Linked DNA regions of Lonchura striata. The protein of the gene in region 3 purifies or fractionates together with the protein of the main gene of each other region. This does not show direct contact. Links are inferred from orthologs where the notes say so. Each region holds a gene or a part of one and is shown on either strand. Other genes may lie near its edges. The genes, in order: CDK5RAP2, PRKAR2A and AKAP9.

What was found.
Region 1: the proteins of AKAP9 (region 3) and CDK5RAP2 purify together in Homo sapiens (affinity purification with western blotting; 4 studies listed by BioGRID and IntAct, with this or other methods). This does not show direct contact. The link is inferred for Lonchura striata from reciprocal best matches to the Homo sapiens genes AKAP9 and CDK5RAP2.
Region 2: the proteins of AKAP9 (region 3) and PRKAR2A purify together in Homo sapiens (affinity purification with western blotting; 3 studies listed by BioGRID, with this or other methods). This does not show direct contact. The link is inferred for Lonchura striata from reciprocal best matches to the Homo sapiens genes AKAP9 and PRKAR2A.

The regions. Positions count from the first base shown.
Region 1 is NC_134624.1:1,083,090-1,093,237, reverse strand, and holds the start of CDK5RAP2 (CDK5 regulatory subunit-associated protein 2), read right to left. Parts: upstream 3,847-10,148; 5' UTR 3,719-3,846; coding exon 3,666-3,718; intron 3,549-3,665; coding exon 3,487-3,548; intron 2,842-3,486; coding exon 2,774-2,841; intron 1-2,773. UniProt on the Homo sapiens protein: Potential regulator of CDK5 activity via its interaction with CDK5R1. Negative regulator of centriole disengagement (licensing) which maintains centriole engagement and cohesion. Involved in regulation of mitotic spindle orientation.
Region 2 is NC_134614.1:15,680,146-15,690,013, reverse strand, and holds the start of PRKAR2A (cAMP-dependent protein kinase type II-alpha regulatory subunit), read right to left. Parts: upstream 4,389-9,868; 5' UTR 4,227-4,388; coding exon 3,977-4,226; intron 1-3,976. UniProt on the Homo sapiens protein: Regulatory subunit of the cAMP-dependent protein kinases involved in cAMP signaling in cells. Type II regulatory chains mediate membrane association by binding to anchoring proteins, including the MAP2 kinase.
Region 3 is NC_134603.1:133,865,105-133,874,958, reverse strand, and holds the start of AKAP9 (A-kinase anchor protein 9), read left to right. Parts: upstream 1-5,845; 5' UTR 5,846-6,060; coding exon 6,061-6,108; intron 6,109-9,854. UniProt on the Homo sapiens protein: Scaffolding protein that assembles several protein kinases and phosphatases on the centrosome and Golgi apparatus. Required to maintain the integrity of the Golgi apparatus. Required for microtubule nucleation at the cis-side of the Golgi apparatus.

The DNA.
Region 1 (10,148 bases), on a different chromosome or scaffold from region 3:
GTATAAAACATTCATTCAAATAAGACTCATGTCCCCTACCAGATGCTTTCAGCAAATGGAAATCTAATATGTTACAGAGCTACTAATAAAATATTTATGTAGGCTTTTCCAGAACACTACAGTGCTATTTGTAAAAATTATTAGCAATACAATTTCCAAAATACTTGGCTTGTGAAACCCAGGATTACTTTCTGTAACTGCACTCAGAACCTGCATCTGCAAACAACTGTTCAGTTTAATAATCCCTGCCCAGAAAGCTGCTTTGACATTATTCACAGAAGGGAAAATCATCAGAGCAATTGAAAATCCTACATAAAATTTGTGGCTCACTCCCATACCCTGAAGCAACCTGTCAGTAAATCATTCCCAACACTCCCTGCTCATTCAGAAAAAGTCCAAGTGACAAAAACACTCTGAAGTTGTACCAGCTAAACTTCTAATTAGTCTCCCTACATTCAATATATTTCTGAGTCAAAAGGAGAAAATAATTTCAAAAGAATTTAGTATTTCACAACTCTTGTTACATGTATTTCAGTGGCACCAGAGATAAACCAAAGTGCTTAAGGGTAATATTTTCAAAAGGCAAATGAAACAGACGATGCAATCATAAACCAAGGAGTGAAACAAATGTCATCTCTGATGTTCAGCTTCTTGGATGAATGTTAGAGCATACAGACAATTTATAAGTTATTGCTTAATGAAAGAAAACATATAAAATGTGAGAAAGCTCACACTGCAAAAAGATTTTAAAAACAACCCTCTGAACTTATGCATTTGAAGACTCAGTCTTAATTCCTTTATGCATTTTGATTTCTGTATTTAAACAAAAGGAATGAAAACCAAGACAATTATATACATCCTGCACAAAATATTCCACAGCATGAACAGCATGGCAGCAAATCCTAGCTCAGATGAGCTCTGTTCCAAGCCTGCATGGAGCCAGTTTTGTTCAAAAGGGATTTGTCAGCAGTGGCTGAGGTTTCACAGCACAACAGTTTTCAACTATAAAGGCTGTTTTAGATTTACAGTAAAACTCTAAGAAGGATTGGAGAGACAAGGAAGAATCCCACAAATACTATTAGCCAGCTCCCTTAAGTGATACCCATGAACACCTCATTACCCATAACAAGGTCCTCCTCAGAGATGCTTTTCACTTTGCCCATGTAATCATATTTTCTATAACAGAATGGTTACCTCCATATTGCAACAAAGTGGGACTCCATAAATAATTCAAAAATCTGCACCTCCAACATTGCACAGCTCAGCACCTGCTCCAGGTATAAACATTAAAGGACCTTTCCTACATGGATCCACTTTTTAGCCCATTTAAGGGTCATTACATCCATCCTGTTCTCTCTGAGCTATGAGGTCAGAGCTCATTCTTTTCATTACATCCTACTTATAGCCTATAGGAATAACAGAGTTATAGAAATAAGTTTACTGTGTTTAATGTATATTCTTCTTCCTTCATGTCAGTGGATCTTTGAGCTTCATTACACTACTGGCATCCAGAGTTTACATCCCAGGGGAAGTTTTACAGCTCAGTTTACCATGAGGGGTCTGAGCATAGCAGGATGCCAGACCTGTGGGGAGGCCCCTGCTCTACATCACACAGGACACACAGCAACAGATTTTTCCTTCTTTCTGCAACTTCTTGTTCCCGTGCCCAGGAACCCTGCAGACAGTAAAACACTAGCAAAATGTATATTCTGGACAGGGGTCTTTGGCACACATCACAGTAAAAGATTTTAAGCACATAGCAATGCCAAGGCAGTGTCTGTCTACCCCAGCCAACACACAGAAACAAGAGAGAAAGGGAAATAGATACAGACTGCAAAAAAACATCCTTTTCACCAAAGGCTTTCCAAAACAAGCTTTACATTCTGAGCAAAGAGCAGAGCTTTCTTCTCAGAGGTCATGTAAGGCCATAAGAAACTGAAAGAGTTTGTAAGAAACGCTCATTTCAAACACAGCATTGCCACAAAAGGTAGCAGCAGCAGCACACTGAAACTGCAGACTCTTGGCACAGCCCAAAGGCAGCAGTCACAGCTTTTATCTCTAGCAATCATCTCAGAGATTTCAGACTGCCTTCCCCTCTACAGCTTCTTCACACAACAATAAATACCTTAAAAGTTTTTCACTCTAGTCCTTAACTGGGAAGTTGTCCTGCAACACAGCCCAATCAAACCATCCAGCAGACATAAACAACTGTCTTATTCAATTTTAAAAGCCTGTATAGTTAACATATTTTTAAAAATCTAATGTTTTCCCTTATATTCTAGTAAGTGCCAAAATACTTTTATCTACAAAACTGTCACAATGATACTGGACTTCTACAACACAAGCATTCCAAGCACACTCATGCTATGACGTTAAAAGGCATTATATTAAAGTCAATGAATTAAAAAGCCAAATCCCACACTAACCTAAATGAAAATAAACTTGATGCTTCCCTGAAATAAATCAGCAACAGATGTGCAAACCAAGTTCTGATGTTTCTGAGCTGCAGGAACTTCTGAGCAGAGGGTGCCAATTTTGTTTCACAACTTCAGCACAGCAGTTGGCCACTCTGAGCAACAAATTCCTACCTCAGTTTTTGAAAGCAGCACATAAAAATGGAGGTTCAAGGAATGGACAGGGACATTCACCTGGTCACACCTCCAAAAGATGTGTATCAACTGACACAAACTAAGAGTCAACACATCAGCCAGCACGTTGGAAATATCTTGGCTATCAATTTGTCACTGAGTCTTACATTAAAAGTTCTGCTTACATTTTCATAATCCTTCATGGTCCGAGCTCGAGCTGGTGAGACTGTGTCTTCTGCCACATCTGGTACCACTAGACATTAAGTAGACAGAACAAGTTCAGACAGCAGAATCTCTCTAAGTAGGGCTTCAATTTGGCAAAGGTCTACACTAATCTAAACACAACAAAACCTTTAGGGAAGTGACAGAGTCGCTGCTTGGCCCCCTGTTTACATTACGTGCCAGTATCTACATTCCTTTCTGATCACAGAAAGCTGTCTATCACATAAACTCCCAAATTCCATTACCCACCTAAATGATGATGCACACTGGAATTCGGCTGTGTGAGGTGCGCTGTCAAGAATAAACCCTCACAGCAAGAACTGGGAGATGCACAGCGCGCAGCTTCCCGAGCCCTGAGCAGAATGTGACCGAGCAGCGCGGCCCCGCTGGATATTCCAAGTATTTTAAGTACACGCCGCACAAAACCGCTGATCATCTTATATAAGGCTGAAAGCCCTCATGACCACAGGCAGCGAGCACACAGCAGTGACGGCAGCAGCTGTCGTGTTAAAAACTCTTAAATTACGTTAAAAAGCGCATCACTTAAAACCTTTTTTTTTTTTTTTTCGTTTTTGCCGCCAGTTTGAGTTCCTTTTTGCCGCAGGTTTGGGGAGCAGCGCGAAGCACCGAGCCGGGCAGGGAGGGATGCGCGGGCTGCGGCCGCGACCAGCCTTACCTTGTCGGCCGGGCGGGCCGGGCGGGGGGTCCCCGCGGGAGATGTCCGGGAGCTGCAGGGCGCTGGGGAAGAAGGAGGAGAGCGCTGAGAGCACAACCCCGCGGGCTCGCCCCCCTCACCCCATCGGCGGCCGGGCCCGCCACACGCACCGCGCTGCCCCGCCCGCAGCTCCCCCGTACCTGCCCTCGAACGCCAGCGGCAGCGTCGGGTCCTCGCCCGGCAGCGAATCCATGGACGGGCCCCGCGGCTGCCGCGGCTCCCGCCGCCTTTGTGCGCGGCTTTGGCGGCTTCCCTGGAATTCAAACGCCCGCAATCGCTTCCGCCATCTTCGCGTCGAGCGCGCTGAAGCCGCCGCGGGGCGCGCGGGGGGCGGGCGCAATGGGAACGCAACGGGAGCCGCCCTGTTTGATGAGGGCAGCGGCCATGTCGGCTGAGGGCAGAGCGGGGCGGCCGCTGCGGGCAGAGCGGGGCGGCCACTGCGGGCAGAGCGGCCGCTGCGGGTAGAGCCGGGCGGCCGCTGAGGGCAGAGCGGGGCGGCTGCTGAGGGCAGAGCGGCCGCTGAGGGCAGAGCCGGGCGGCCGCTGAGGGCAGGGCAGAGCGGCCGCTGAGGGCAGGGCGGCCGGGCGCTGTGAGGGACGGAGCCCCGCGCTGACCGCCTGAGGGGACGGGGCGCCCGAGGCGGCGCGCAGCGAGCGGGGAGCGGGTGATCCCCGCCGCTGCCCGGGCCCTGCTCCATTACCGCACCCATTTGGAAGGGAGGCACCAGGCGCCGGCTCCTGCCGAGCCTGGCAGAGCCGCTGGAGCTGGTGTTCACCGCGTTCCCCGCTGCGCAAAGCCGTCACTGGGCTTGGCGGAAGAAATAAACACGCGTTAGTTCCACGTTCTGGTCACTGCTCATCGCAATCGGCCTGCTGCAGGCAGCTGCTGACATCGTCCGCACGGGCGGGTTCTGAATCATCTGGGAATTTTTTTGATGAAGCAAAGTTGTAAGCGTGTCGGCTGTCCCCCTTTTTGTGGGAGAAAATGCCACCGCATTCGATATTTCTGAACATCGAGCTGAACGGGATAAAACGCTGCTGTTGTGGCCCCTCCTGCGCGGGGCATGGCCTGGGTAACAGCGCCGGTCACAGGTGGAGCTCCGGACCCTGCTTGCTCTGCATCCTTTGCCTTCCTTAAATTCATTTAGAACCCGTGTGCAGGATTGAAATACCCCCGGCGATATTTACATGATCACAGAGTCACAGAATTATTTAGGCTGGAAAAGACCCCTGAGATACGGAATCCAACCTTTGACTAATCCCTGCCTTGTCAGCCAGCCCAGCGCACTGAGTGCCATGTCCAGTCGTTCCCTGGACACCTCCAAGGACAGTGATTCTATCACCTCTCTAGGCAGCCCCTTCATAATGTCTAATCACCCATTTTGTGAAGAAATTTCTCCTGATGTCCAACCTGAACCTTGCCCCTACAGCTTGAAGCCGTTCCCTATTGTCCCTATTGTTCCCTGGAGCAGTGCCCGACCCCCCTGGCTGTCCCCTCCTGTCAGGAGCTGTGCAGAGCCACCAGGTCTCCCCTGAGCCTCCTTTTCTCCAGGCTGAGCCCCTTCCCAGCTCCCTCAGCCTCTCCTGGGGCTCCAGCCCCTTCCCTGGACACGCTCCAGCTCCTCAAGGTCTTTCTGCTCACAAGGGGCCCAGAACTGGACACAGCACTTGTGGAACCTCACCCGTGCTCAGCACAGGGGACAATCACTGCCCTGCATCTGTGGCACACTATTGCTGGTATAAACCAGGAGCCATTGGCCTTCTTGCCCACCTGGGCACTTGTTCAGCCATGTCAAACAGCACTCCCAGGTCATTTTCTACTGGGCTGCCTTCCAGCCACTGCCCCAGAGTGCATCAAGAATCAAGTGGGACTCAAGTCCCTCATGCTGGGACTTGCTCTTAGCATTCTCTGTAACACAAGGAAGCACAGGAGTGACCCTGTGCATTAGATTTGGTTTCCTCTTTTGGATTTGGTTTCCTCTTTTGTACCAACTCAGGTCAGGTTTCACTCACTTTCCTTTAGACTATCTCAAGGGGACTCTTACCCAGCCAGGAATTAGGCCACGGATAAGGGCTGACCACAGGCCATGAATTCTGTGAGCTCATTATTCCCAGTTCTGTGAGTTTATTATTCCCAGTTGGCCTGGTGCCCTGTGAACTTCACTTCCTCCATGTACCTGCACTGTTTACATTGGCACTCACCTGTCAAATGCCCCAGACTGGTGGGAGCAGCCACTGCAGCTCTGGATGTGTATGGTCATGATGGGCTTCCCATCCCTGCTTAATTCTTTCAGCTTCATGTGTACAAGTGCCTGACGGAGCTGCAGCAAAGTCCCAAACTGCCAGAAGTGCCAGGCACTACTTAGCACAAGTAAAGCTCTTCAGCCCATCTCCTGTCCAACTGGACAAGCCTCATGCTTTGCATTTGGGGTCTGATGACCCCAAGGGATGTTTAGTCCCTTCAAGTCCCCGTGAGAGACCTCAAGAGACACTGGTCACCTTATGTGACTGAAACCCTTTTGCAGTGGCCTCTGCCAAGCTGAAATTAAGTTCACAAAATCAGGTCTGCCATATGGCACCAGGATCTGATCAGCCAGGCTGAAATGTGGGTTTTCCTCATTTACAGAGCAGATCTTCATAAAATGAGTAAGTCCACTCACTTGAAAGGATAATACCAATTTGTTTAATCTTGTTTAAGGTTTCAGCGAGGTGTTACATATTTGATGTGGGTTTTTAAATCAGCATCCATCAGCCACAAGTGCAGGGTAAATTACTCTGCACACAGAGCACACAAGTCTGCAGAGTCACAGCTCACACACATGTCCAACACACTGTAGTCAAAATAAAATCAGCAGGGCCCTCCTTGTGAAGTTCATTACTTCATGAAGTGGCTGTCTGATGGACAAAGATAAGGATATATAGACATACATCCCTGCCTATCTTCCCTGGAAGTGCTCAGGGGCAAGGTGGCTTGGAGCAACCTGCTCTAGTGGAAGGTGTCCCTGCCCATGGCAGGAGGGGAAATGAGATGGCCTTTTAGGTCCTTTCCAACCCAAACCATTCTGTGGTCCTATGATTCCATGTATACACACAGCCAGGATGGAAAATTTCCCTGGGAAATTTCCTGCACTGCCCCATGTTTTACAACCCGCAGTAGCATCAGGAAGCTGCAAGGGGCAGAAAGGACTGGGAAATGTGTTGTTTAGAAGTAGTTAACAACATGCCTTCAGATAATCTGCTTAGTGTTGTTTAACCTTAAATTCATTAGCAGCACATTTGGGGAGATTACACTAAACCCTCACACCAGGAAGCTTTGTTGGAACTTTCTTTCTTCTCAAGGCAGCCTGAGATCCTTCCCACCTCAGGCAAAGTCCTAAAGGGAGTCTGGGAAAGGATTTCTGGGCAGTGCAGTGTAGGGCTGAGCTGAGCAGGACGGGAGCCAGCTGCTGGCTGTGCTGGCACAAGGAGGGCTGATGTCACCACCAGCTGAGCACGGGTCCCCTCACCCTGCTCTTCTCACTCCCTGCTCTGGGGACCTGGTTCAGACTCAGTTCTGCCTCCTCCTCACACCATTCACAGCAAGATTCTTCCTAAGTTAGGTCATGCACGATCCAACCGCTCTGCTAATGCAAATCTCAATAAACTCCCTTGAATTTCACCAGTGTGGCCCTTACTTACACAGCCCAGTCAAACCTCTGCATGAACACTTAAAAACACATGCTCGATCAGTGTATGAAGCCTTACCTCTCCAAGTTCTTTGCTTAACAAGAATTGTAGAGTCACACAGAGCTTTCACCAAAAAAGAGCCTTTAGCAGTCGTTTGCAAAACAAAATCAATTTCCTAACTCTGCCAAGTGAGAAGGAAATGCAAGTTTTCCACAGGCCTCTCTGCAAACACTCCCAGAACTGATGCCACAGATGTGGATTTCAGAATATTTGTAAGAAAAATGGCCTTTGAAAGACATCTGTGGTCATGGGGAAAAGTCTGATACAATATCCTCATCCCATTTCCAGCTTTGCTCTGAGGGTTTTGTTGCTAGTGATTCACATCTCTGACAAAATGTGTCCATGTGAATGATACAGAAAACAGTGGGAAAACAGTGATTGCCTGTGGAGCTCCCAAACACAGCTGAGGGCTGGGATTGTTCATAGCAGACACAAGAGATCAGAGGGTTCATTTTTCAGTTGGATTTTCTGACACAGAATGTCAACTGTGCTTATGAATATCTGTGATAGAAAACATTTTTGTGCCTTGGTTCTCATCTCGCATACAGGGGCATAATGAAGAAATAATTCTCTTGGAACAAATGTTATTACTGGGATGAGATTGGATTCAATCCTTTCTGTCACTGGGAAGACTCTTGCTGAAATTCAATGAACAAAAACACGAATGCAAAAATCCAAGTGGCATAGATACAAATTATATACATTTATTTTTATTCATTTTAAATAACATTCTTCTGTATAAATTCTGACATATATTCAAATCATACACTTTTTTTTTTCTTTTTAGAAATGCATTTGTAAGCATAGCATATGCTTGGGAGACGCCGTATTTGGATGTAGAGTGAGACTGATGGGTTTCAGATGGGAGCAAGTAAAACTTTTAAGGCCCACATTTTTCTTATTTTAATCCATTCCTCTGACACATAAAGAGCAGAGTCCTGTGGGAGCTCAATCTAAATTTCACTTCAAAGAGAAAACTATTTTTATATCCTTTATTTAAAGGAGACTGCAAACTTTCTGCCACATTTACATTGCCTGTAACATTGAAGAGGATGATTCTGCACAGCAGTGGTTAACTGGCCCAGGATACCTGAAGGATGTTGGATATATCCCCTCCTCTTTCCTAAATGCCTGCTAAGTTTGCTCAGCCTGGTCCAAAGGAATTATCATTCCAGTGGCTGACATCTCCTGAAGCTCCCCAGGGCTAGTGCTCCTCGTAGCTATTTCCAGCTACAGTGGTCCACGAGATTGGACAGCATCTCTCCTCATTAGCCCAACTTTTCTGCACGTGTGTTGCACTCCAAGTGCTCCCCAAGCTGAGAGCCCTGCAAGCTGCCCCGAGCCCTGCCCCACCCCAGCCCTGTGCCCTTCATCTGCTCCTTCTGTCCCTTTGCCTTTACTGCCAGGCTGGACTTGCCCCAGCCTGACCAGCTGGGCCCTCACCCTGCCAAGAGCTGCCTGGAGCTGCTTTCCCACATCCACCAGCCCCCCTGCCCTGTCACAGCTCCCCTCTGCTCTGCAGCCCCGTCCCATGCCATGAGTGCCCTTCTCTGTGCCAGCCCAGCACTGCAGCTGGCCAGCATTCCCAGGCAGAATGTGCTACAGGTATCTATCAGGAGCACCACATGTACCTGGATTGCCACCTCAGCCCCACAAGTCACCAAGATGCCCTGCCCTGGCCTCACTGCTGCTCAGCTGGGCCTCAGAACAGCCCTGAGAGTCCATTTCTGGTTTACCTGCCCTCACCCCCCCCAGGACAAACCTCAGCACCTGGGGAGCCTCGCGACAAGCGATGACACACATCATGGTGCTGGTGGCCTCAGCACCCTGGCACAAGTTTGAGCTCTGCCACCCCTCCAGGTACAGCCCAGCCCAAGGTGACTGGAGACAGAAAGAGCTCAGCTTCTTTCTCCCCTCCTGTGGTGCCAGGGGACTGGTAACACCACGGGCGATCTGATCTCACATCACCAAAGTCAAACATGAAGGTCTTTATTCTTTCCTTGCTGAGGTATTGATCTCCTTTTATTACTGTTGTTCCTCTGTGCCAATGCCTGGGTGGCAGGAGGTGGCTGCTGTGTCATTTTGCCATTTGACAAGCACGGTGCCAGTGCCACATCCTCACTGTGCTCCCTGTTCAGGAACATCCTGTGCCATCCAAATCTGGGCAGCCAGGTCCTCCCGCCCAGTTCCCATCGCGTTTTCCAGGCTGTCTCCATCCCTTTATCCAGCTGTGCAATCCACAGGCAGCAGCTGTCTCACCCTGCAGGGCATCCTGACTCCTCCTCTTCCCAAACACAAAGTTTTTGGATTACTTTGGAGGTCAGAAGGAGCCCAGGTGCCAACACCTCCTGTGCTGTGGCAGGCAGGGACTAGGAGGGCTCAGCACCTGAGCCCACGCTCTGCTTGAGCAGATGGTCTCAATTTCTACAGTAAGACAAAATCCAAGCCTCTTCCTGTTACAAAGCAGCCCACAGTCACAGCAAAATTTAAGGAAGAGGTGTTTTGTGGCAGAGATTAAAAAATCTGCTAAAGTATTTTAGAAACATTAAAGTGAACAACCTGTCCTTCGATATGCTGGCTAGCATCAGTCCAGAAGCCCAACACTTACTAAATTACCTTCCCTCACGCCATGAAGTGACCAAGTGCAAGTGTATTGCTAGATCAGCACCTCTAAATAATTATAACTTCCAGGAAATTTTCTGTTTCGTCACCATCCTGCTCTTTAGAAGTTTGATGAGTAACTCGAGGATTAGCAATATCCAGATTTTTCTCCTCCAGTCCTCCCCCATTTTATAACTAAAAGTAACATTGCTCTGAATGACACAAGCCAGATTTATTACCTGAAGTAAGGGACCTCACCAGGCCCACTGCAGGCAATGGGAACTTTTCCATTAGCTT
Region 2 (9,868 bases), on a different chromosome or scaffold from region 3:
AATATTTCAAAAGTGCAGTGAACTCTTATTCTGTACCACATTCAAGATCTAACAATGTAAACCAGCATTTCTCTACTCCCTTCTGCCCAGATATTCTACTGATGTTTTAAAGATGACATTTAGCAAATCCTCGAATTTTAATTGAGAAGGTCAGTGCAGAGATAAAGAATCTTTTCACCTGTCCATCCAGATCCATATGCACCATTTCCCTTCACAACAAGTCAGCATACCGAAAAGGATTATTTCAAAAGCAAAATATTAAGAAGGGCTCTCTTTTGCTCAGGGAGCAGCTGAAAAGCTCATCATCTTTCTTTCAATATCAAGGCAAAATCCTAAGAAAGAAAAATTTTATTTGCAATAAAATACTTGTAATTAGTTGAAACATTCGAGTTGCTTAAATTAGTGTAACCCCAAAAATATTTCAGTCCCATTGTTAGTTATACTTCATACCCCCAAAAACACATAAAGGTGGTTTTATTGTTACAAAAATTAAGACAAAGCAGGAAGTTCACAGTGCAGCACTTTGCACCTTAGTGCAACTGCCCCAAAGGACAGGGAAGCAGAGCCTCTGCCCTCCTTCAGGTGTGCTCTGCAACAGGAGGTTTCCCAAAGCAGTAATCCAAACAGTGAACAGACCATTTCTGTGGCATTCATTTCAGTCTTAACACATCCATTCAGAGCCTGCTTGTTAGAAGTACAAGCGTCATGGTCAAGGACCCACTTTAAGAATAAATATCAGTCCTTGGTTACGTTCTCAGGCTGATTTTTGAAAGTCTTGCTTTGCACCTTTCCCAACGCTCCCAACATCCTCAATTTTGCAGTTATACCAAACAAATAAAGGCTCTGAGGAAAGTGTTGTATCTCTTAAATTATCTGCCACAGCCCAATGGATAACTCTTTCTGGGGGCTCCCCCACAACCACCATCATTTTATTTTCACACATGCCTTACAATGCACTCTGACGAACAGCCACATCCTGACGTCCTTTGATCACATGTACAAGAACAGTTAAAATGAAGGATGAAACTCCAGGGGGGTCAGACAGGAAACATAAACCTGGAAATAATTTCCTAAGTATCACCTAAGAGTGTTCATCCTAAGAGAGAATAAAAGTGGGGTTTTTTTGGGTGGCTTTTTTTTTTTTTTTTTTGTAGCCTAGCTAGTTTCAGTGACTTTTAACACATGGATGGAGTTCCACTATGGCATCACTCTGACTACTTGAAGACATTTGCCACAAAGCTTCCACCAAAGGCCAGGACCTCCTTCTGACTTATTCTTGCTTCTATTACCATATGCACTCAGCATACAAAAAGCCCCACATAACTTATCTGAAATGTTATCTCAGTCTGAGTGTGCAGATGCAGCCTAGCGACACACACAGATTTAATACTGGGCCAGACACACACACACAAAGATAAGCACATTATTTCTAAAGATCTTTCCTACTGCCAACATATACAGTACGGGTAATTATTTAAACTAGCTTTAAGCTTCCTTAACATCATAACTTAGAAAAACAACAGCTCAATTTCATCTTTTTATTTATAAACAGATATGGAAACATGTTTAAAAGATCCATTTGACCTGTCACAGCAACTCAAAGGTAACAAAGCATAACCTAGGAAAGCACAGTGAAATTCACTGAAGTCTTTCCTAAACTGCCTAAGATGGAAAACTGCAGTCTTTATAAATAGCATTCTGGTCCATCCAATGGGATTATTGGAGTCTCTCATTTCCCTATCTCCACATCTTCTTTAAATACTAAGTAGATATAAGCACCCAGGATCTTGTCTTCCACAAGGCACAAGTACTGTCCTACTTATGACAATGATCAGGTATCAGAACCTCTAATTTAAAATTTTTCATTGATAGAGACAACATTAAAACAGAAATCTAATTAACACATAGCCATGGTTGACTGTCATTGTTAACCAATGCAAGAAAGAATAATTTTCCTGACCCTCCAGAGGGATCCTCACCTGCTGCCACAGAGAACATGGCACTGTTCCTGGGAAACCACAAGGGGGGAACAGCATGGGTTTACAGATAGGAAGCAAAACAGCATTACTGACAGTGGCACTTGCACAAAGGGCTCTACTACAAGAAGTGACAGTGCCCAGCCTTGTTAATTTAATTTTCTCTCTGACTAAGATAGAAAGATGATAAGCAGAAACATGAAGCAATGGAACCACCCTTCTGCTTAGGACAGCCTCGCTGTGTAAAGTTGCATTTGAAAAGCTGTAGGGCACCATTAAATTTTTATGTCTTTATCTGGAAACATTTAACTTCAGAGGATCCCTCCAGCTGCAGCTGCAACATTCAGAAAGAAAATTTTACACTTACTTCCCTAAAGATAGTATTTCAAACCCCAAATTGAGGTAAACTGATCACAAAATAGCCAAACTGCACCCAAAGACATTAGACTTTCTGGTGGAGTGGTTTTTTTTTGTTTGGTTCTGTTAGCTGGGATTTTTTTGGGGGGTTTGGGCTCCATTTTTTTTAAGGAAAATATTAAATACAAAGACATTGTACATTTTTAAGAATTACATTGAACTATCTACTGAATTTTTTCCAATGTGAAGTTTAATTTTAAAATATATTCTGCAAGAAACTTTAACTTCTTTGAAAATACTGCTGACGTGGTTGCAGGGCAAAAAATCAGTTGTAGTTTCCATAAATCTGTGTTCATATTTGAACATTCCCTTAAATTCAATTCAGTCACCACCAGTGCCCACATCTTCACCCTTCACCTTTCATCCATTCTTCTTCCTGCCCTAAACAGAACTTCTCTTTCATGAAGAAGGACATCCAAACCCAGACACCAATTGCAAACTGGTTTTCAATTCATTCTGACTCTACATTTCATTCCTGTCCTCTCGCACATTCCATGTCCTGTGTGTCTATTTTCAAGAGTTTAAGATACATTTCACTTTTTAAAGTTCCCAGCCTAAAAGTGCCGCAAAAAAACCCAAAAAATAGCTGGTGTCTCAATGCTTCCTTAATAAAAACAATTATTTGTTCCATAGCTTAATTTCTTCCTGTTACTCTAAAACTGTTAACCAGGGAGTAGATGTTAAGAGCACACTGCATCCACAAGGTGACATCCAGTAATTGGTCTAAAAGAGGATCCTCTATCAATAAAAGTCAGAAACCTTTACGTTATAGGTCAAGGGCACAAGACCTTCAAACGAGGGCACGGAAAGTTCAGGGAAAGCACGCCTTTTCTCACCTTTCCCTCCCCTTTAAGTTACCTTCCAATAATGAGAAAGTATTCCTTCCAAAAAATTCTGGGTGTGCCAAGTACCACCATTCACATGCATTTTAAATAACTTCTAACCCTGAGGCTCAATTACAAACACTCTGCATAGCCTAAAACACACAGTATAATTCTGACCGAATAAAAAATTTCAGTATCACATCGCATTTCATTGTCCAGATCCGATTAAGTATCTTTCCCACCATCAAGACTAGTATGAACAGCAATATACAAGTGGCTTTGAATTTTAATATGCTGCTAAACAGCGAAAGTTGTTTCAGTGCGTTTTAATAGCCACTTTAAATACACAACAGCGGCAATAAACCACCCCGCTTTCCGCGAAAAAATCCCAACCACTCCGGTCCACAATGATTTAAAGACAGAAAGGTAAAGATAAGTACACAAGAGGTTGCACAATAACACATGATCTTCCCTATCACATGCTTGGCAGCGCGCTCGCTGCCCGGCGATCCCCGGTCAGACCCCGGGGCACTCCGGCCGCCCGGGGCAGCGCCGGACACTCGGGCCCAGGGGTCGGGGCCAGGCGGGGCTCCCGGAGCACGCCGGCAGCGCACGGGGAGCGGCGCGGGGCTGCGGGAGCCGGCGCAGCCTGTCCCCCATTCAATCCCTCCTCGCTGCCCGCCCTGCCCAGGGCACGGCGGGGAGGCGGCCCTGGCTGCAGCCCCCGGCCGGACCCCGCGCCCCGGCGCCCGCACTTACGCTCGAAGTCGGAGTCGGACTCGTCGTCACCGCGGTCGGGCTCCTCGTCGCCGTTGGACTCGGTCTGCATGGGCTCCCCGTCGAAGCTGACCACCCTGCGGCCGCCGCCCGCCTCCTGGTCGCGGGCATCCCGCAGGCGGGCGAAGTACTCGGCGGCGAAGCCCAGCAGGTCGGACGGCCGGTGCCGCAGCACCTCCACCGTGTAGCCCTGCAGCAGCTCGGTGAGGCCCGGCGGGATCTCGATGCTCATGGTGCCGGACACCCGGGAGGCCCCCTCGCCTCCCTGCCTGCCTCCCTCCCTCCGTCCGCCCCTCCCCGCGACCGCGGCCGGCGGTGCCGCTGGCGGTGGCGGTGCGGGCTCGGGGCCTCCCAGACGGGCGCGGACCGACTCCCGCCGCTCCGGTCACACGAGCCGCGGGGCGCGGAGGGGAGGGACGGGACGGGGCGGGAGCGGCCCCGCGGCGCAGGCGCGGAGCGGGCGCGGGAGCGGGCGCGGGGCCGCGGCCGCGCGTGCGCGGGGCCGGGGGCGGGGGGGGCTCGTGCGTCACCGCGGGGCGCGGCGGGGCCGGGGCGGGAGCGGGGGAGGCTGGGACGGGACGGGACGGGACGGGACGGGACGGGACGGGACGGGACGGGACGGGACGGGACGGGTCGGGTCGGGTCACTGGGTGCGCGCCTGGATGGTTCCGCTCTCCGGAGAGCTGATGGGCGCCCGCCGTTCCGCGCCCGCCGGAGCCGCTGAAGCCCGGTCCCGGCGGGCTGGGCCGGTGGGAGCGGTGTTGGGAAACCTCCGGGCCAAAGCTGGCGGCGGGATGCCGGGAGGGAAGGAGGTCAGGCCGGCGCCTCCTCGCCGTAGCTGCTGCGGTTTTGCTTTTCTCTGATTTCGCATCAGTGACCCCGTACACTCATTTCTCGTCAGAATCACAGAACAATTAGGTTGGAAAAGACCTCTGAGATCACAGAGTACAGCCTTTGACCAAACACCGTCGTGTCTAGACCGTGACACTGAGTGCCACGTCCTTTCTTTAATCCTTAAACACGTTCAAGGACGGTGACTCCACCACCTCCCTGGGCAGCCTGTTCCAATATCTAGTCATCCTTTCTGTGAAAGAATTCCACCTAATGTCCAGCCTAAACCTCCCCTGGCACAGCTTGAGGCCATGTCCTCTTGTCCTTTTGTGGGTGTCATGAGAGAAAAGACCGATCCCCACCTGGCTACACTCTCAGGTACATCTAGAGAACAATAAGATCCCTCTCGAGCTTCCTTCTCTCTATGCTAAACACCCCCAGCACCCTCAGCTTCTCCTCACCAGATTTGTGTTCCAGACCCTTCCTCAGCTCCATTCCCTTCTCTGGGCTCAGTCCAGCACCTCAGTGTCCTTCCCGAACTGAGGAGCCCAGAACCAGACACAGCAGTCAAGGTGTGGCATCACCAGTGCCAAGGACAGAGGTTCTCCTTCCCCACATGTGAGCATGTGATGGTGTTTCAAAGCTCCCACAGGAGCAGGAGAACGAGGGTTTTTTGACCTTGGTCAGATCCAATCAAACTTCCATCCAGATCTTGTTTGGAGTTTTATTTAGGACCTATGACCCCCAGGTTCTTGTCAGAATTATGTCATTAGAGAACAATTCTTAAGTTAGTGCAAGGTCTTCACACCTTTTGGTAAACACTGAATAGAGCCATGATATAGTCTGAAAGGGTGGCAATAGTATTGTTCTGATAAGAATAAAGCATTACAGATAAGAATTGCAGTAAAATGAAACACAGAATCATAGAATGGTACGGTTTGGGTTGGAAGGAGCCCTAAAGGTCACCTAGTTCCAAACCCTCTGCCATGGTCTGGAACACCTTCCACTAGACCAGGTTGCTCCAAGCCCCATCCAATCTGGCCTTGAAGGCATGGGGCATCCACAGCTCTGCACGACCTGCACCAGTGCCTCATCACCCACACAACTGCTGATATGTGTGAGATTTGGAGATATCCACTTATATGCCATTAAATGCTCTTTATTCAGATTTTTGCTTGTGTTTGTTGTACAAAACCTGTTATCTGTGTGTACAAGGGAGGTTTGGCAGATGCCCAAGGGCTGCATGGAGTGGAGCCATCAGCCCTTAAGGTTTGACGTTGCTGGGAAGCTCATCTTGGGACAAAATAAACCTGTGCAAACATGACTCAAGGAGAATACGGATGTTGGCTTAGTGACATCGCTGCATGTTGTCAGTGTACATATTTTTATTTAATTCTTCTTTTGTTTCAACAATAAAGCAGCAAAAATCAACTCGTTCTCAAAATATAAAATTTCACTTAGAAGCCCAGAACTGGCTGAGGCGGTGTACTGTGTGTTTTGGTTTTGTTTGCTCGTGTGCCAGAGAATCCCCTCACTCATCCAGATGGCTCTCACTGGATAGAGGCAGCCTGTTCATCGCTGCTGCACCACACCCAGTGCCTCTCCTGGTGGTTCTCACCGAGGGAGGCTGGTTGCAAATCTCATGGCACATAAAAGTGTTCTTTGTAATACAGCTCCCATATTTGCATGTGGAGTAAGATTACATTATGCATCCATATAAAGTGAAAAAAAAAATTTAAAAAGCACAGAAGGTAGATTTGCCACATCTTAGCAATTTATCCAATGATTTTGTATGAAGCTGTTGCTCTTAATTTCTATTATTTTGTACAGCAAGAACAACAGTTGCCCTACTGCCTTTTTCAAAAGATAATTGATACTGATTTTTCATTTGCCATTCCTACCATTACTATCTGTCTGGTGGTCTCAAATATTACAAGAGCACATTTCACTGCTCAATATATGTACTTTAGCTACTGACAAAACTGGTAGAGAGAAAGATTCTGATCAATGAGAGAACTATGGTCAGTTCTCCCACAAAATTAAGATTTCTGATGAGATCTTCCCTTTGCTGGTTGGATGCTGAAGATATTGCTGGTAATGAAGAGGTAAAATGAAATTTTAAAAATTCAGTAAAAATGGTAAAACAAAATAATAGTAACAAGCAATGGCAGGAGGGTTCAAAGGAAGAAAGGGAATGTCTTATTCCAAGGGAATACACTTACTTTTCTTTCCCATTTTTTTACACAGCAGCCAGCCACCTTATAATTGCCTGCTTTTGGCATTAGTCAGCTCTTGTATTAACTTTTAATGTTTGATAATTTTGTGTCATTTGTGTCTGTGAATATAAATCTGGTTATTTATTAGAAAAACAAAGACATGTTAACAGTAAATACTGTTAAGTCTCTGAAGGGCTACATTGTATTGGCCTTCTGATATTTGTATGTCCACACACAACTAATCAGCTTCAGGGGAAAGTAAAGAGCAGAGCTGTTTATTCTCTTCCTGAAGGTCAACGGACAAAATCAAAAGCATCCAAGGTCACACAAAGTGCATTTTCAAGTTGATTTACACCACATTTTATCCTGTTTCCTTATATACCCTTTTTTTTTTTTTGTAAATATCAGAACAGAAGGCACAAATATGCGAGAAGCTTGTCGGCGATCGAGTTAATTGTTACAGTGCCTGCTGTGCATACAGAGAGTGCATCATATGCTTTCTTTCTCCCTGAATTGGCATAACTTTTAAAATTATTACTATAATAAGCATTTACATTAAAAGAATGATAGAAAATAAATTAGAAAATGCACTTGCAGCCTTAATTTTATCCTCTTTATAATAACATTTTTAATTCAGGCAGCATGACCAATGCAATTTTTTTCCTCTGGCTTCATGGCATGTTCAGTACCCAGTATGGAGTTAGATAAGACTTGTGTAGCTGATGAAGTTGGTCCCCACAGTATTCCCATCAAAATATATTTATTTCAGTATATAGTTCTCCTAATAATTTCTTAGTGCTGAAAGCTATTCCCATATATACCACGTGTCTGTGCTCCCAAGTGGTGAAGTCTCTTCCCTTTACTCTGCCTGTTCTATCCAGATCTGTGTGACTTTGATGTGTCATTAGTGAAACTGTTGTGGAGCTTCAGTGCTTGTCCTGCTCAGGCAGGAGCTGCAAAGTTGTCAGCAGAAAAAGCAAAATAGTCTGTGTAGTCTTGCACTGGGGAAAAATAATCAGATTAAACTTCCTGACTGGCTCCTTAAAAAGTAAAATAAATCCTTTTATAATGAGTAATAATTCACTTCTCATAAACCTGTCAGCACCAGCCAGAGCTCAGACACTATATAAACATATGTACATCTTGGATTAATTACACTTCCCTTCAAATTCCATACAAGGATCATGCAAGAAAACACTAAATATTCTGATGGCAGTTATTAGTGAACACAGCCTCACGTTTTCCACATCCCCTGGTGCTGAACCCAGTGACCAAGGTTTGCATAGCAGCAAGTTCCAGAAGTTAAATACCTGTTAGATAAAGCAGCACTTCTTTCTCTAAGATCTGGAGCACTCTTCCCAGATTTACCAAATTCTTCCTGCTCCTGGTATTGCAGGATCTGTCAAATTATGTTTCTGCCTGTGTTTTATTTGCTACTTCGTGATTTTTGTAAACCTCAATCTTATCTCAGCCCTCTCAAAATTAAGATCTGCCAGTCCTACTGGTCTCTCCTCCAAAAGCAGCTGCTTCCCCAGGATGACATGAAATGCTCCTTTCTGTAGCTGCTCAGCTTCTCTGTGCCTTTCATGAGCACTGTGTGCAGTTCTGGTCTCCACATCCCAAAATGTGGGCTCACCCTGGTTTTACACAGCAGAAAAATGATTCTGTCTCATTCTCTAATGCTTTTCCATATCATTATGAACTGAATGTATGCAGTCATCATTTTAAGATATAAAGAGATGAAAAAAATCCCACTTCCCTTGCTCTGTTTCTCCCATGGGTGACCACCCTCATTGTAAAAAAAACATGCTGAGTTTTGCATTTTAAGTTTTCTATGTTTAACATTCAAATGTTTTTCTACCCACTGCTTGCTCCTGTTGCTGCAAACGTGTATAAACATCAAATAACTTTGTGCATAATGTACACAAACCTTCTGAGTTTGTATTTTACCAGGAGTAATAGTAACAAACAAGTGATCCTGGGTTTAACAACCAGGCTGTAGAGATCCTTGAACACCATGTGCAAGATGAAGCTGCTTCTCCTGCCTCTCTGTGGTTCCTTCTCAGGAAAGTGCTAAACCTCAGAAACCAAATTTTGGTGGTCTAACCAGTAGGTTTGCTTGTGACAGTAAGCATGATTTAGTATGTATTTTTGTTAGCCTTTAGAGTGAATAGCTTGAGTACTGTGTATTTCAGCAAATCATATGAGACTATCTATCAACAGTACAAAGACAGGAGAAAAAAAGTCAAGTTTTTTTTTTTTAATAAATGCATATAAATGCTTGTGTCAGCTTGAAATCTGTTACCTTGACACTACCTTTTGTCCATCAGAAATATTTTGGATAATTCTTAGAAAGATGCCTTGCTGCATTTGTTGATAAATGTCAAAGTATCAAGTTGGGAGAAGCATCTGTATAAATTATCCTATTTTCATTTGTGTCATTTAGCTTATGAACACAGAAAACACTGATTCTGTTGGTAACAACTACAAATTTTCAGGCAGTAGAAAATACCAGCCTTAAAATACCTGATTTTGTAAATCATCTGACTTAGATGTAAAAACAAATACTTCTGACTATCATGTCATACTTGTGATGCAAAATGGCACGTGTTTGAATCTAGATAAAAGTAGTATCTGTGACATAAGACGTGTGGGATGACCGTGTTGTTTAAACTACCCTGAGTAACATTATATAGCAGATGTAGAGTTAATGTTACTCTGAGTAACATTATATAGCAGATGTAGAGTTTATGGTTGCCACGTCAGAGGAGCCCTAAGCAACAGCACTGCTGTGTAAACAGGGGATATTCAAATAAGGACTTAGCTG
Region 3 (9,854 bases):
TTCTAAAAGTACATTGGGATGCTGATCTGTCAGGTGAACAGTCTGGACAAATTTGAAGAGAAACTGGTGAGTGGTAATATGCTGAAATGGGACATTCTATTAAAGTATTAATTTATTCCATGTTCTTAATGGAGGTTCATTAATTAAACTTGACCATATAAAATAGCAGAATAGCAGGAAAATAACTTGATTTTATACCTTCATATGCAATAGACTGAAGAGATTCTTATTCTGAACTTTCATGTAAACTTGGACAATTGTGACCAATCATAAAGAAATATGTACTATAATAGTTCTACATATTTCATATACAAATAACTGATTTTTGCTAGAAATAAATCTTAGTACCTCAAATATCAAGTGCCTATTTGAAGCTCCAGGGTCACTTAACTAATTAGCTGTATGAGTTGCAATCTTACTTAAATTACCTTCCTTGATATATTAGGCCTGCAGAATAAATTATTAATCTCACAAAACTTCTTAGGTAAAGAGTCTTGCCTCTTCCTAGTTACAGTATTTTCATCAAAGCAACAAACAAATGCCAGAGTATTTATCTTAATTAATTAAATTATAAGGAATAGAATCAAATATGCATCCAAAAATATATGTGGAGCTTACAATTAGTCAAACTAGAAGCTGTACAATTCCAGCATTCAGAAAAGAAAGGCACATGTCTCCAGGAGGTCCATGTTACTGTCATAGTTCAAGAGGTCTGTGTTTCAACACCTTTGAATGAGTTATTTTATTGTATTTTCACCAAGATGAAAAATGTTTGGTTTTGGAAACAAGAAAAACACTTTGGTGTGCTCAACTTGATTGTGTCTGATTGAAGCATGCTAGCAAACCCACAATTATTCAAATACTAAGTGAGTGCCTGGATCATGTACATGGAAAGTTTTAGTGTCTGATTTCTTCTGTCACCTCTTATAATAAAATTTACTTTCATTTAGGAAAAAAAAGGCTTGCTGTACAGACATTTGGTGGGACACTGGTTGCAATGGTTAATATAGATTTGCCTAACTTCACAGCTGCAGACAGGGGTTTAAATTACATTTTTTCCTAATTGCTTTTTCTTGTATGGGAACATTTCATTTTCATCCTCAGTGCCTGCTTTTTTCACAGACTTTGGTACTTTCCTTTAGAAATACATATAAGAGAATAGAAATTTTAGCTGTTACACAGGAACTTATTCTAAAATATTCATCAGTTGCCTCATTTAATAATTTTTAATACTGCTATGCCTCACCAGTGATTTCTAAAAGAAAACATGCAAAGAAACAGAAAAAACCCCCAACAACAAAAACACCCATGCTTTTAAAAGCATGTCTTCCTTACATCTCCAGCTCACCTACTTTTTAGCCACCAAGCCTCACAGTTTGTTCTGTAATGGTATCTGTTCTGCTCTGCTTTGAAGGAGAGAACATTTGTCTCTTTCTGAAATACAAGCTGGTCCTAACATAAATAACACACCTAATGCCCCTGTGGCAAAAGTTTTTATAACATGCAGTTGGACTAGCTGAATAAAATAGAACAAGTTCTACCTGAAATTTGTGTTGACTTCTACTTACTAACAGCCAAGTAACATAAATAGGTAATCAGTAATCAGCAGTCTGTGAAATTGGGAACTTTACCTATTTTACGTGAATCACCTGCCTCCTTCAAGCAAGCCAACCAGGCAGCACTCTGGGAGATTCCAGTGCCAAGGCTCAGTGCAGCTGAAGAGTAGAAGGTAAGGGACAGATCTGGCACAACATGCTGTGACAAAGGCACAGGTAAGATAGTCATTAAGCCAACTTCATATTCTTCATGCAAGCTCACACTGAGGTAGAGGCAAATCTGGTTACGATGCACTATGATAGGTATGCACTAAGGCAGTACCATCTGCCATAGAACTCCCACTAGGTTCAGTGGAAGCAAGTGCATGTCCTGGTCAAATAAAACCTCCACCATGGTCATCTCTCAGAGACAGCAGGTCAAGAGCCACAGGAGAACTGCTGGATGTGCTGTGATGGTGATAAAAGACATCCCCCTTTCCCTTGCCATTGTCTCTGATGGGTAATATGATTTGTCTTAAAGTGAGAACACTAGATAGGAACTGCAGGAGGAATGATTTGGATGCTCACATAATCAATCCATTCCACAGATGGGAGAGTTGTGGTGATTGCTATTGACTTTGGTATGCATCAGGCTGCAAAATCTATAAAATACTCCTGCAGACTAGGCCAGCTGAGTAAGCTAGTATCCTGAGGTTGCAGGCAGCTATCTGGTGATCCCCAGCCCCACAGGGACACCTGCAGGGTATGTCCAGCCCTAAGACAGAGAACATTCACTTTTGGATGGGTAAGTAAAGGTGCTGAGTTCTGGTAAAACACAAAGTTAAAATTCTAAAGTAGCTACACAGGTGCTTTGTAATTATAAATTCTGCAAGGCCAAAGACTGTAAACCTGTTCATTTGTAGACAAACCTGCTTATATTATATACTGCATTGACAGCATTTAAATGCAGTATTAGCAAATAATCTAATCATAATAATCTACATAATGAGTGTCATATTTCTTGTGCCTGACCAAGAGTCTTCTCTCTATCACTCTGCTACACATACATATAAGAAGGTCATACCTATTAACAGCAGAATTACTCCTTTACAAATGACATTGACCAAATACAGACATTCAAAACTAAAAAAACAAACAAAACCACAAACAAACAAAACCCCCCCAAAATCACCAAAAAACCAAACCTATAACCTATTTTTTTTTAATTTAAGAATTTTAAGAATTTAAGTTTAAATTTAAAACTAGAAAGTGGCACAATCGTTGTATTGCTGCTAGGAAAATATCTGACTGTTGTCAGGTATTTTTTTCTTACAAGATGGATCAGGGAATCTTATATGATCCATATAGGAGTCTTTCATTCTGATATGTATTTTTGTTGAAGAAAATAAATTAGAGTTAGATAGTATTGTTATTAAGAGGTATTGCTGAAGTTATAACACCTGAGAATATACAATATCTATGCTCCTTTTGTGTTGGAAGAGATTGTATATGCCTGTGATAATTTTTACATTTTTACATATTATTTGTGCTTTACCAGAGGCATGCTGACAGCCCTCTGATTCTGGCTCCAATGGACTGTGTCAGAATTTGAATCTCCTAATCAGAACTTTGTGATTATCACACATGGTCTTTAGGCTTTATCTTTTGGCTTCATAGTCCACTAAAGCACCACAATGAAAGTCACCAGGCATACATTCTCTGAACAGTGAATAAAGGAAACAGAAGAGGTAGGAAGAATGTGGAGTTTCATTGTTAGAGAAAATGCTGTAGATGAAGAAGCCTTTGTCCTTTTCCGCAGACAAACACAACTAAAAATTAGGTCTGATATTTGAAGATGGTTCAGTTCCATTTTACATACAAACATTTTTCAATAATAAATTTAGTTCTAAATAAAAATAATAGATGGCCAAAACAGCAATTCTTCCTGTTTTGTAGAATGTCTGATCTGTATTTCTTATCCTGTTAATCTCTTTCACATCACATATGCTGTCGAAAGCAGTTTACACGTTTAATTTATGTGAATTTAATAAGTGTTAAAGTTATTCAGCTTTCTTTCTTACATTCTTGAGCAAATGAACATTATTAGTCAATCCTGAGAATTAAGCAAACAAGATGAATATCTTCCTGTAACCGAAAGTTTATTTGGCTAACCAAGTTGTGAATTCCAGACAGCTTGCCCTGCATGAATGATAAAATAAGAATTAAAATAGGTGAAGTAGGAAATCATACTGTAAGGGTTTGTTTTTTGGTTTTTTATTTCCCTAGGAGAAAAAGTCCTGTTTTTCCAATGTTGAGAGGATATGGAAATATAATTCCTTGAGATATTTTATCTAGTAGTAATTGCCACATAATTCTATTATTATTTATCAGTATGGTTTTCATTACTTTCATAGTCATGAACTAGGTGTTAAGCTAAAATATAATATAATTACATGGATATAAGTCTGTAAGTAAAAGGAAAATTCAGCTTATCAATTTTTAGCATTAACTCAAGAACCCATTTAATTATAGGATTTGGGATGTTTGTAATTATGTTCTAAATGGGATATTTACTGATAAATTAATAATTTATTTTTAAATCTAAGTGTCATATGTGTGTGAAATTTTACTGACATCTACAGCAGGGGCCTCTAACAGCCAAGAGGAATGTCACTGACACAGAAATGGTGATTTATTTTTCCCTCAGGGGTGTCCAGGACTTTGTAGTTGCTGGGAAAAAAACTTCTATTTGTACAGGCTTTGAGGGGGTACTTCAATTTACTGACTCAGGAACATTTTTTTAAAAAAATGAACTCAAATTTATGTTCCTATAAAAATCTTTCCTCTTTGATTAATTCTTATTTTCACCTGCTGCTTTCCCCTATAACACGATTTTCCTGTAGTGAAATGGCAAAGTCTGAGAACTTTAACTGAAACATATGTCTTGCTTCAAATATGAAACAACAGATAATGCAGACATTTTTCATTCCGTATGATGGATGGTGTTTTCTTTTTACATAAATGGTATACGTTCCTTTTTGACTAAAGGCTGAGAGCATGGTTTTGTAAACACAGGAATGCACATAACCTGTACCTATTAACAAATTATTTCAGACTTTTCCATGAAATGTAATGGAGGAGGAAAGGAAAATCCTTTAAAATGTCGGATTGTAGGTTTAGTTTACTTTGGTAGTAATATGGGTTTTGTTGCTAGGACACCTAATTGATTTTTTTAAAAAACTTGTTCCTGGTCAGTAATACTGTGCAAATACTGTTGTCTTTTGTAATTTTTTTTTTTTGTTTGTTTTTTTGGGCGTATCCTGTCTTTGGTGGAAAATTCAAGCAAGGAAAGAATGTATATAAAGGAACCATGTTCAAAAGATCAGCAAAGCTGAGATCTAAGTTAAATCAGAAAGACTTTGAGTTTTGCATATAGTAAAACAGCATGATTCCAAATGCAGAATAAGGAATCCGTTCACATTGCCGCTCGTACACGTTCCAGGGAAGCCTTTTTTCTTCCTTTGTGTGTAAGCCTGTGCCATCTATCGCACCATCACAAACCGAACCCACCTCAGGGGGAACTGAAAGAAAAAGCACAATAGGACCACGTGATACAAAGTGCAATTCGCCTTTCAAGGCACACATTAAGTAGACTATTAAATTATCTCAGAATATTGCTCTGTATTTGCTGAGGTATAGAAATTGTATGAGCATTTAATAGCCACGTGCCATATTCCCCATTGTGCTTTTAACACGCTTCTTCCAGCCCGTCGGGCACGATGAGTGCATGGTAAGTAATGTTAACATGGGGGGCTACACATCCTTTGTTATCATCCTTACACAGTCTGCGGCACACGCTCGGGAAGCTCGTTGTGCTGCCCAGCCTTAGAGCGAGCTGTAGGATCCCTGCAATTGTGCGAGCCGCGCGCAGGAGCAGGGCAGCACCTGGAAAATCGGAACTGTCAGAATTAGCCCTGTAGCCACGGCACTGGCGGGGCAGCAGAGTTCGGGTGCTGCCCGTTCAGAGCCCTGCGTCGCAGCGCAGCGAGCGCCGGCCCCTCGGCGATGCTGTTCTTTTGTGAGCAGCGGGACCCCCGCCTCTGCCCGCACGGCGCGGGGTGTGGAGGGGGCGTGGAGGGGGTGTGCCCGCCGGCGCCGTCCGCGCCCGCTGCCCCCGGCGCCGCCGCCGCCCTGCAGGGTCAAGCCCGCTCCTCCGGGGGCGGCTCCGGCGGGACTGGGCGGGGGTCGCCGGGGGGCAGAGGCGCGGAAGCGGCCCGGGCTCGGGGAGGAGGGGCCGGCGGCGGCGGGAGGAGGGGCGGGCGGCCGCACGTCACTTTCCCCGGCCGCGTGTTTACGTGGAGCTGAAGATGGCGGCGCCGGTGGCCCCGCCGCGGCAGTTGTCGTCGCTGTGAGGCGGGAGGGGACCGGACCGGACAGCGAGCGTGTGCGCCCCGGCTGAGGGGAGGGCGCGGGGCGAGCCCCTTCTCCTGCTGCCGGTAACACCCTGCTCTCCCGCACAGACGCCATGGAGGACGAGGAGCGGCTGAAGAAGCTGGAGGCTGGGAAAGCCAAGGTAGGAGGAGGAGGCGGTGGCGTGGCGGGGAGACCGCGGGGTGAGGGCGGGGGAGGTTGTCAGCGGGGCCGGGCCGAGCCGCGCGGCGCGGCGGCGGAGCGGGGCTGCGGCAGGGGCTCGGCGCGAGGCCCCGCCGCGAACAAAGCCGCGGGCGGAGGAGGCGCCTGGCGCCGCCCGCCCCGCGCTCCCCCGCCCGCCGCGGGGCCGCGCCGCGCTCCCGGCCGGGCGGTGGGGGCCGGTGCCCGGCGGCACCGCCCCGACACCTGGCCTGCCACAGGTGCCGGTCACGGGGCCGGACGCTGACAGCCCGGACAGCGCCCGCTGCGGCGCCGGACGGAGGAAGAACCCAGGAGGAGGAGGAGAAGGAGCGTTAACCTCATTACCCTTCGCGTCGTGGCGCGAATCCCCTTTACCTCATAAGCCTGGGAAACCCTGTGAACCTGTAAGGAAGTTTATGAAACCGACAGCTGTTCTGAGTGTGGAGCTAATGCTGTGTGAAAGCCTCAGGCGGCCGAGGATTAGCGGTGCCCGTGCCGGCGGGCCGGGAATGCCGTGACTCGCCGCGGGACCCCCCCGGTGCCGCAGCCGCCACCGCCCGGGGCTGTCAGGCGGCTCAGGCGCTGCTCTGCGGGCTAACCCAAGGGTTAGTCGGGGAGCTTGTCATTTTACCTTGAGCGTGGCTCACTACACACTGGCTGCGAAGCATTTCGCCTTCTGGGCAGCAGACCAGACTACACTTCAGGAGGACCTTTTTTTAACTTCAAAGAAAGCTTTGGTGTGGTCAACGAGATAAGCTAATTAATGGCATTCTAGATAAAATTAGCGTTTTGGCGTTAGGTATCATCTATTTCCTTCCTGTAATCATAGCTAAATGATAAGAGTTCAGAAGTTGATCAGTCATTCATGCTGAAGATATACATGTAACTTGGCAGGAGCTAGTAGTTGAGGCAAAATGAAGACAAGCTAAAGATGAAACTATGAAGCATCATTTTCACATCTGATTTATGCAGACTATAGAAAACATATAGTTCATCTGAAAAGTATTGAATAGGTATTTTGCTGTATTAGTAAAAAACTTCTTAACTCAGTGTGTTTCTCTTAACTCAGTGTGTTTGAGTTAAAAATGTCTGTTGGGAAAATCTCGTAGATGGATTTGTATGTTTATATAGAAAAACCTGTTCCTTAAATGCTTAGTGCAAGAGTGGTGTTTGCACACCATTATGTAGTACTCATAAAAGGCTCTGGGAGAAATTAGATCCTGGTGGCAGTACATTGTGTCACAGATTGGCTATTTTTTTTGCAGAAAATTAGTAGTTAATAAAGAAAATGGATGAAGTAAATTTGCCAGTATTATAAAGCACAATTAAGAATTTAGATTTTTCTGCCCATATTGGGCTGGGGTTAACACAGAAAATTAATGACAATTACTGAAAATTGAACCAAAAATTTGCTCTAGCAGGTATTCAGTGGCTTTTTTTCAAACTTCAAGAAAAGACAGGTACACTTTACTAATTTATTCTGTATTTTAAGAGTACTGTTATAACTTTCACAATTGTTCTAGTCTTTTCTGTCTAAAACCTAATGCTGTTCTTGTATTTGTCTGGAGACTTTAGGGTTCTATGCTTTTAAATGTCCCCTGTGACTTAAGTCATTATCACTCTTTAAAGCTATACATGGTTTATGTGAAAAGGGACTATAAAAGCAGTGTGAGTTTTTTCAGATTTTTTTTTTGTGTTCTTTGTTGCCTTTACCCCCTTTTTACATGTGAATGTAGAAATCTGTTGTATAGTGGAGATTAGGTCACAGTCTTTCAGTGACAAATATCACTGATAAAAGCAGAAAATAAGAAATTGTGTTAACAGAGAATGAAAGCAGGAGTTACTCCTGCAGTTGCTTTTCTCTTTTTCAGGCACATTCACAGTGTAATCAGTGCATCTCCTAAAACTGCTTGGCTCCAATGAATTATCTTCTGAAAACCACAGCAACAAGCATCCAGAAAACTTTTGAGCTTTATCACTTGAGAATTATTTAAGTAAAATAGCTGAGAAAATTTGTTTAAGTATATGTGCAAAAAGTGCAATATTGCTATACTGCAGACACCTTAAACCATCCACCTGAAATGACAAACTTTAAATAAGATGTTCCATAAACTGCAGGATTAATGTAGGTGATCGGGAGTCTGGTGAAAGAGCCTAGTAGAGGTCATGAAGGTGGCTGGTACATTGCTAACAGTGGAGTTACTATGCACCATTGAGACCTGGATTCTGGTTTGGTTTGGGTTGGTTTTTTCCTTGTAAAGTTGGCACTGCTGAATCTCAGTGTCTGCTTATTAAACAATATGAACTTGCTTGTAAAGCAGCCATTTGGTTGTTTTCTAATATCAAGTAGGCAAATGTGGTATTTGGTTTTGTGTGAATCTATCTCGAATGGAACTTTGTCTTGATGTCTTCAAGACACTGTCCCCCCACATTGATCTTTTACAGAGAAGTGTATTAAAAGTGGATTTTCTGCAAATTAATTTTCTTCGGAGTCCTTCTTTATTGTTCCTGGAAACGAGAAGCTGCATTCTGAATCTTACCTTGATTGAATGGTGCTAAGTGTATTTAAGCCTGGCAGAATAGGTCTCAATGTGAACACACAGCCTTTGCCAGTACATAATTTGAAAGTGGAATAAAAAGTCTTGATGGAGGCTCACCAATGTTCATGTGTACCTGATGATTCTGGGAGACTACACCCAAGTCTGCATTATGAAGCAGTTTGCACCACATGTTGTTGTTCTGTCTGGTAAAGCCTGCAAAGGCAAGGGTGGCACAAAGTTAAACCCAGGAAATTACACACTCCTTTTTTCAGACCTGTAGTCATTAATTTTCTTTTGCCATGAGGTAAATCTGCTGAATATTAACCCAACTTCTATAAATGTCTGTCTTCCTTCCATTGAAAATGATCTCTCAGTTCCTGTATAGAACTCTCTTCTCCCCCAAATAGGCTGTTTCTTTATCTGATCTCATGATGTCATTATGGAAGCAAGAAGAGTGTTTGTTAGAAAGGCCAGTTAAGGCAAACAGTGTTGACTGTGATGGAAAGTGGAAGGGAGAAGATGTGTACCAGCAACAGAAATATAGATGTAGCCTGAAAGGTTGATCAGTGCCTTAAAACACAGTGACATAAGAAATCCATCAGATGTGTTTTGTGCCTTGCTGAGGAGATTCTGGAATATTGTTGATGGCCTGAGATAGTGAATGTGTAAAAAAGGACAATAGAGGATGGTGGTTGAAGATCTTGATATGGCATACTATGTGCGGATTCCTGTGTGCACCAGTTTGCTTGGAAACTCATCTAACATCAAAGAGGGTACTATTTATGGTAGTTGGATTGGGTATTTTAATTTCATGTATGTATTTAGCAGCTTAGGAACTGGCTTTTCTTATTAGGATGTGGGACTGTCTTGATCAGCTTTCAAAACTACAGAGTTTGCTAGCTTCAGAATAAGACCACGGTGATTGGATTCCCTTGTCAGAAAGTGGCTGAGGGTATTTTGGTGTAAAGCTTTTGAAATTTATAAAAATATTTTAATTTCTGTGCACACAGGCACACATGAAAGGCACAGCTATTATAACTGGCAAAATTGAGATGAAGCTATCAATAGCAGGTTTTATGGAATGATCCATTTTACAGTACTGAAATTTAGTTAGCAAAGTATTTAAATAAGTGTTTAAATTTCTAGTGAGCAAAGGGCCCTCCATAGC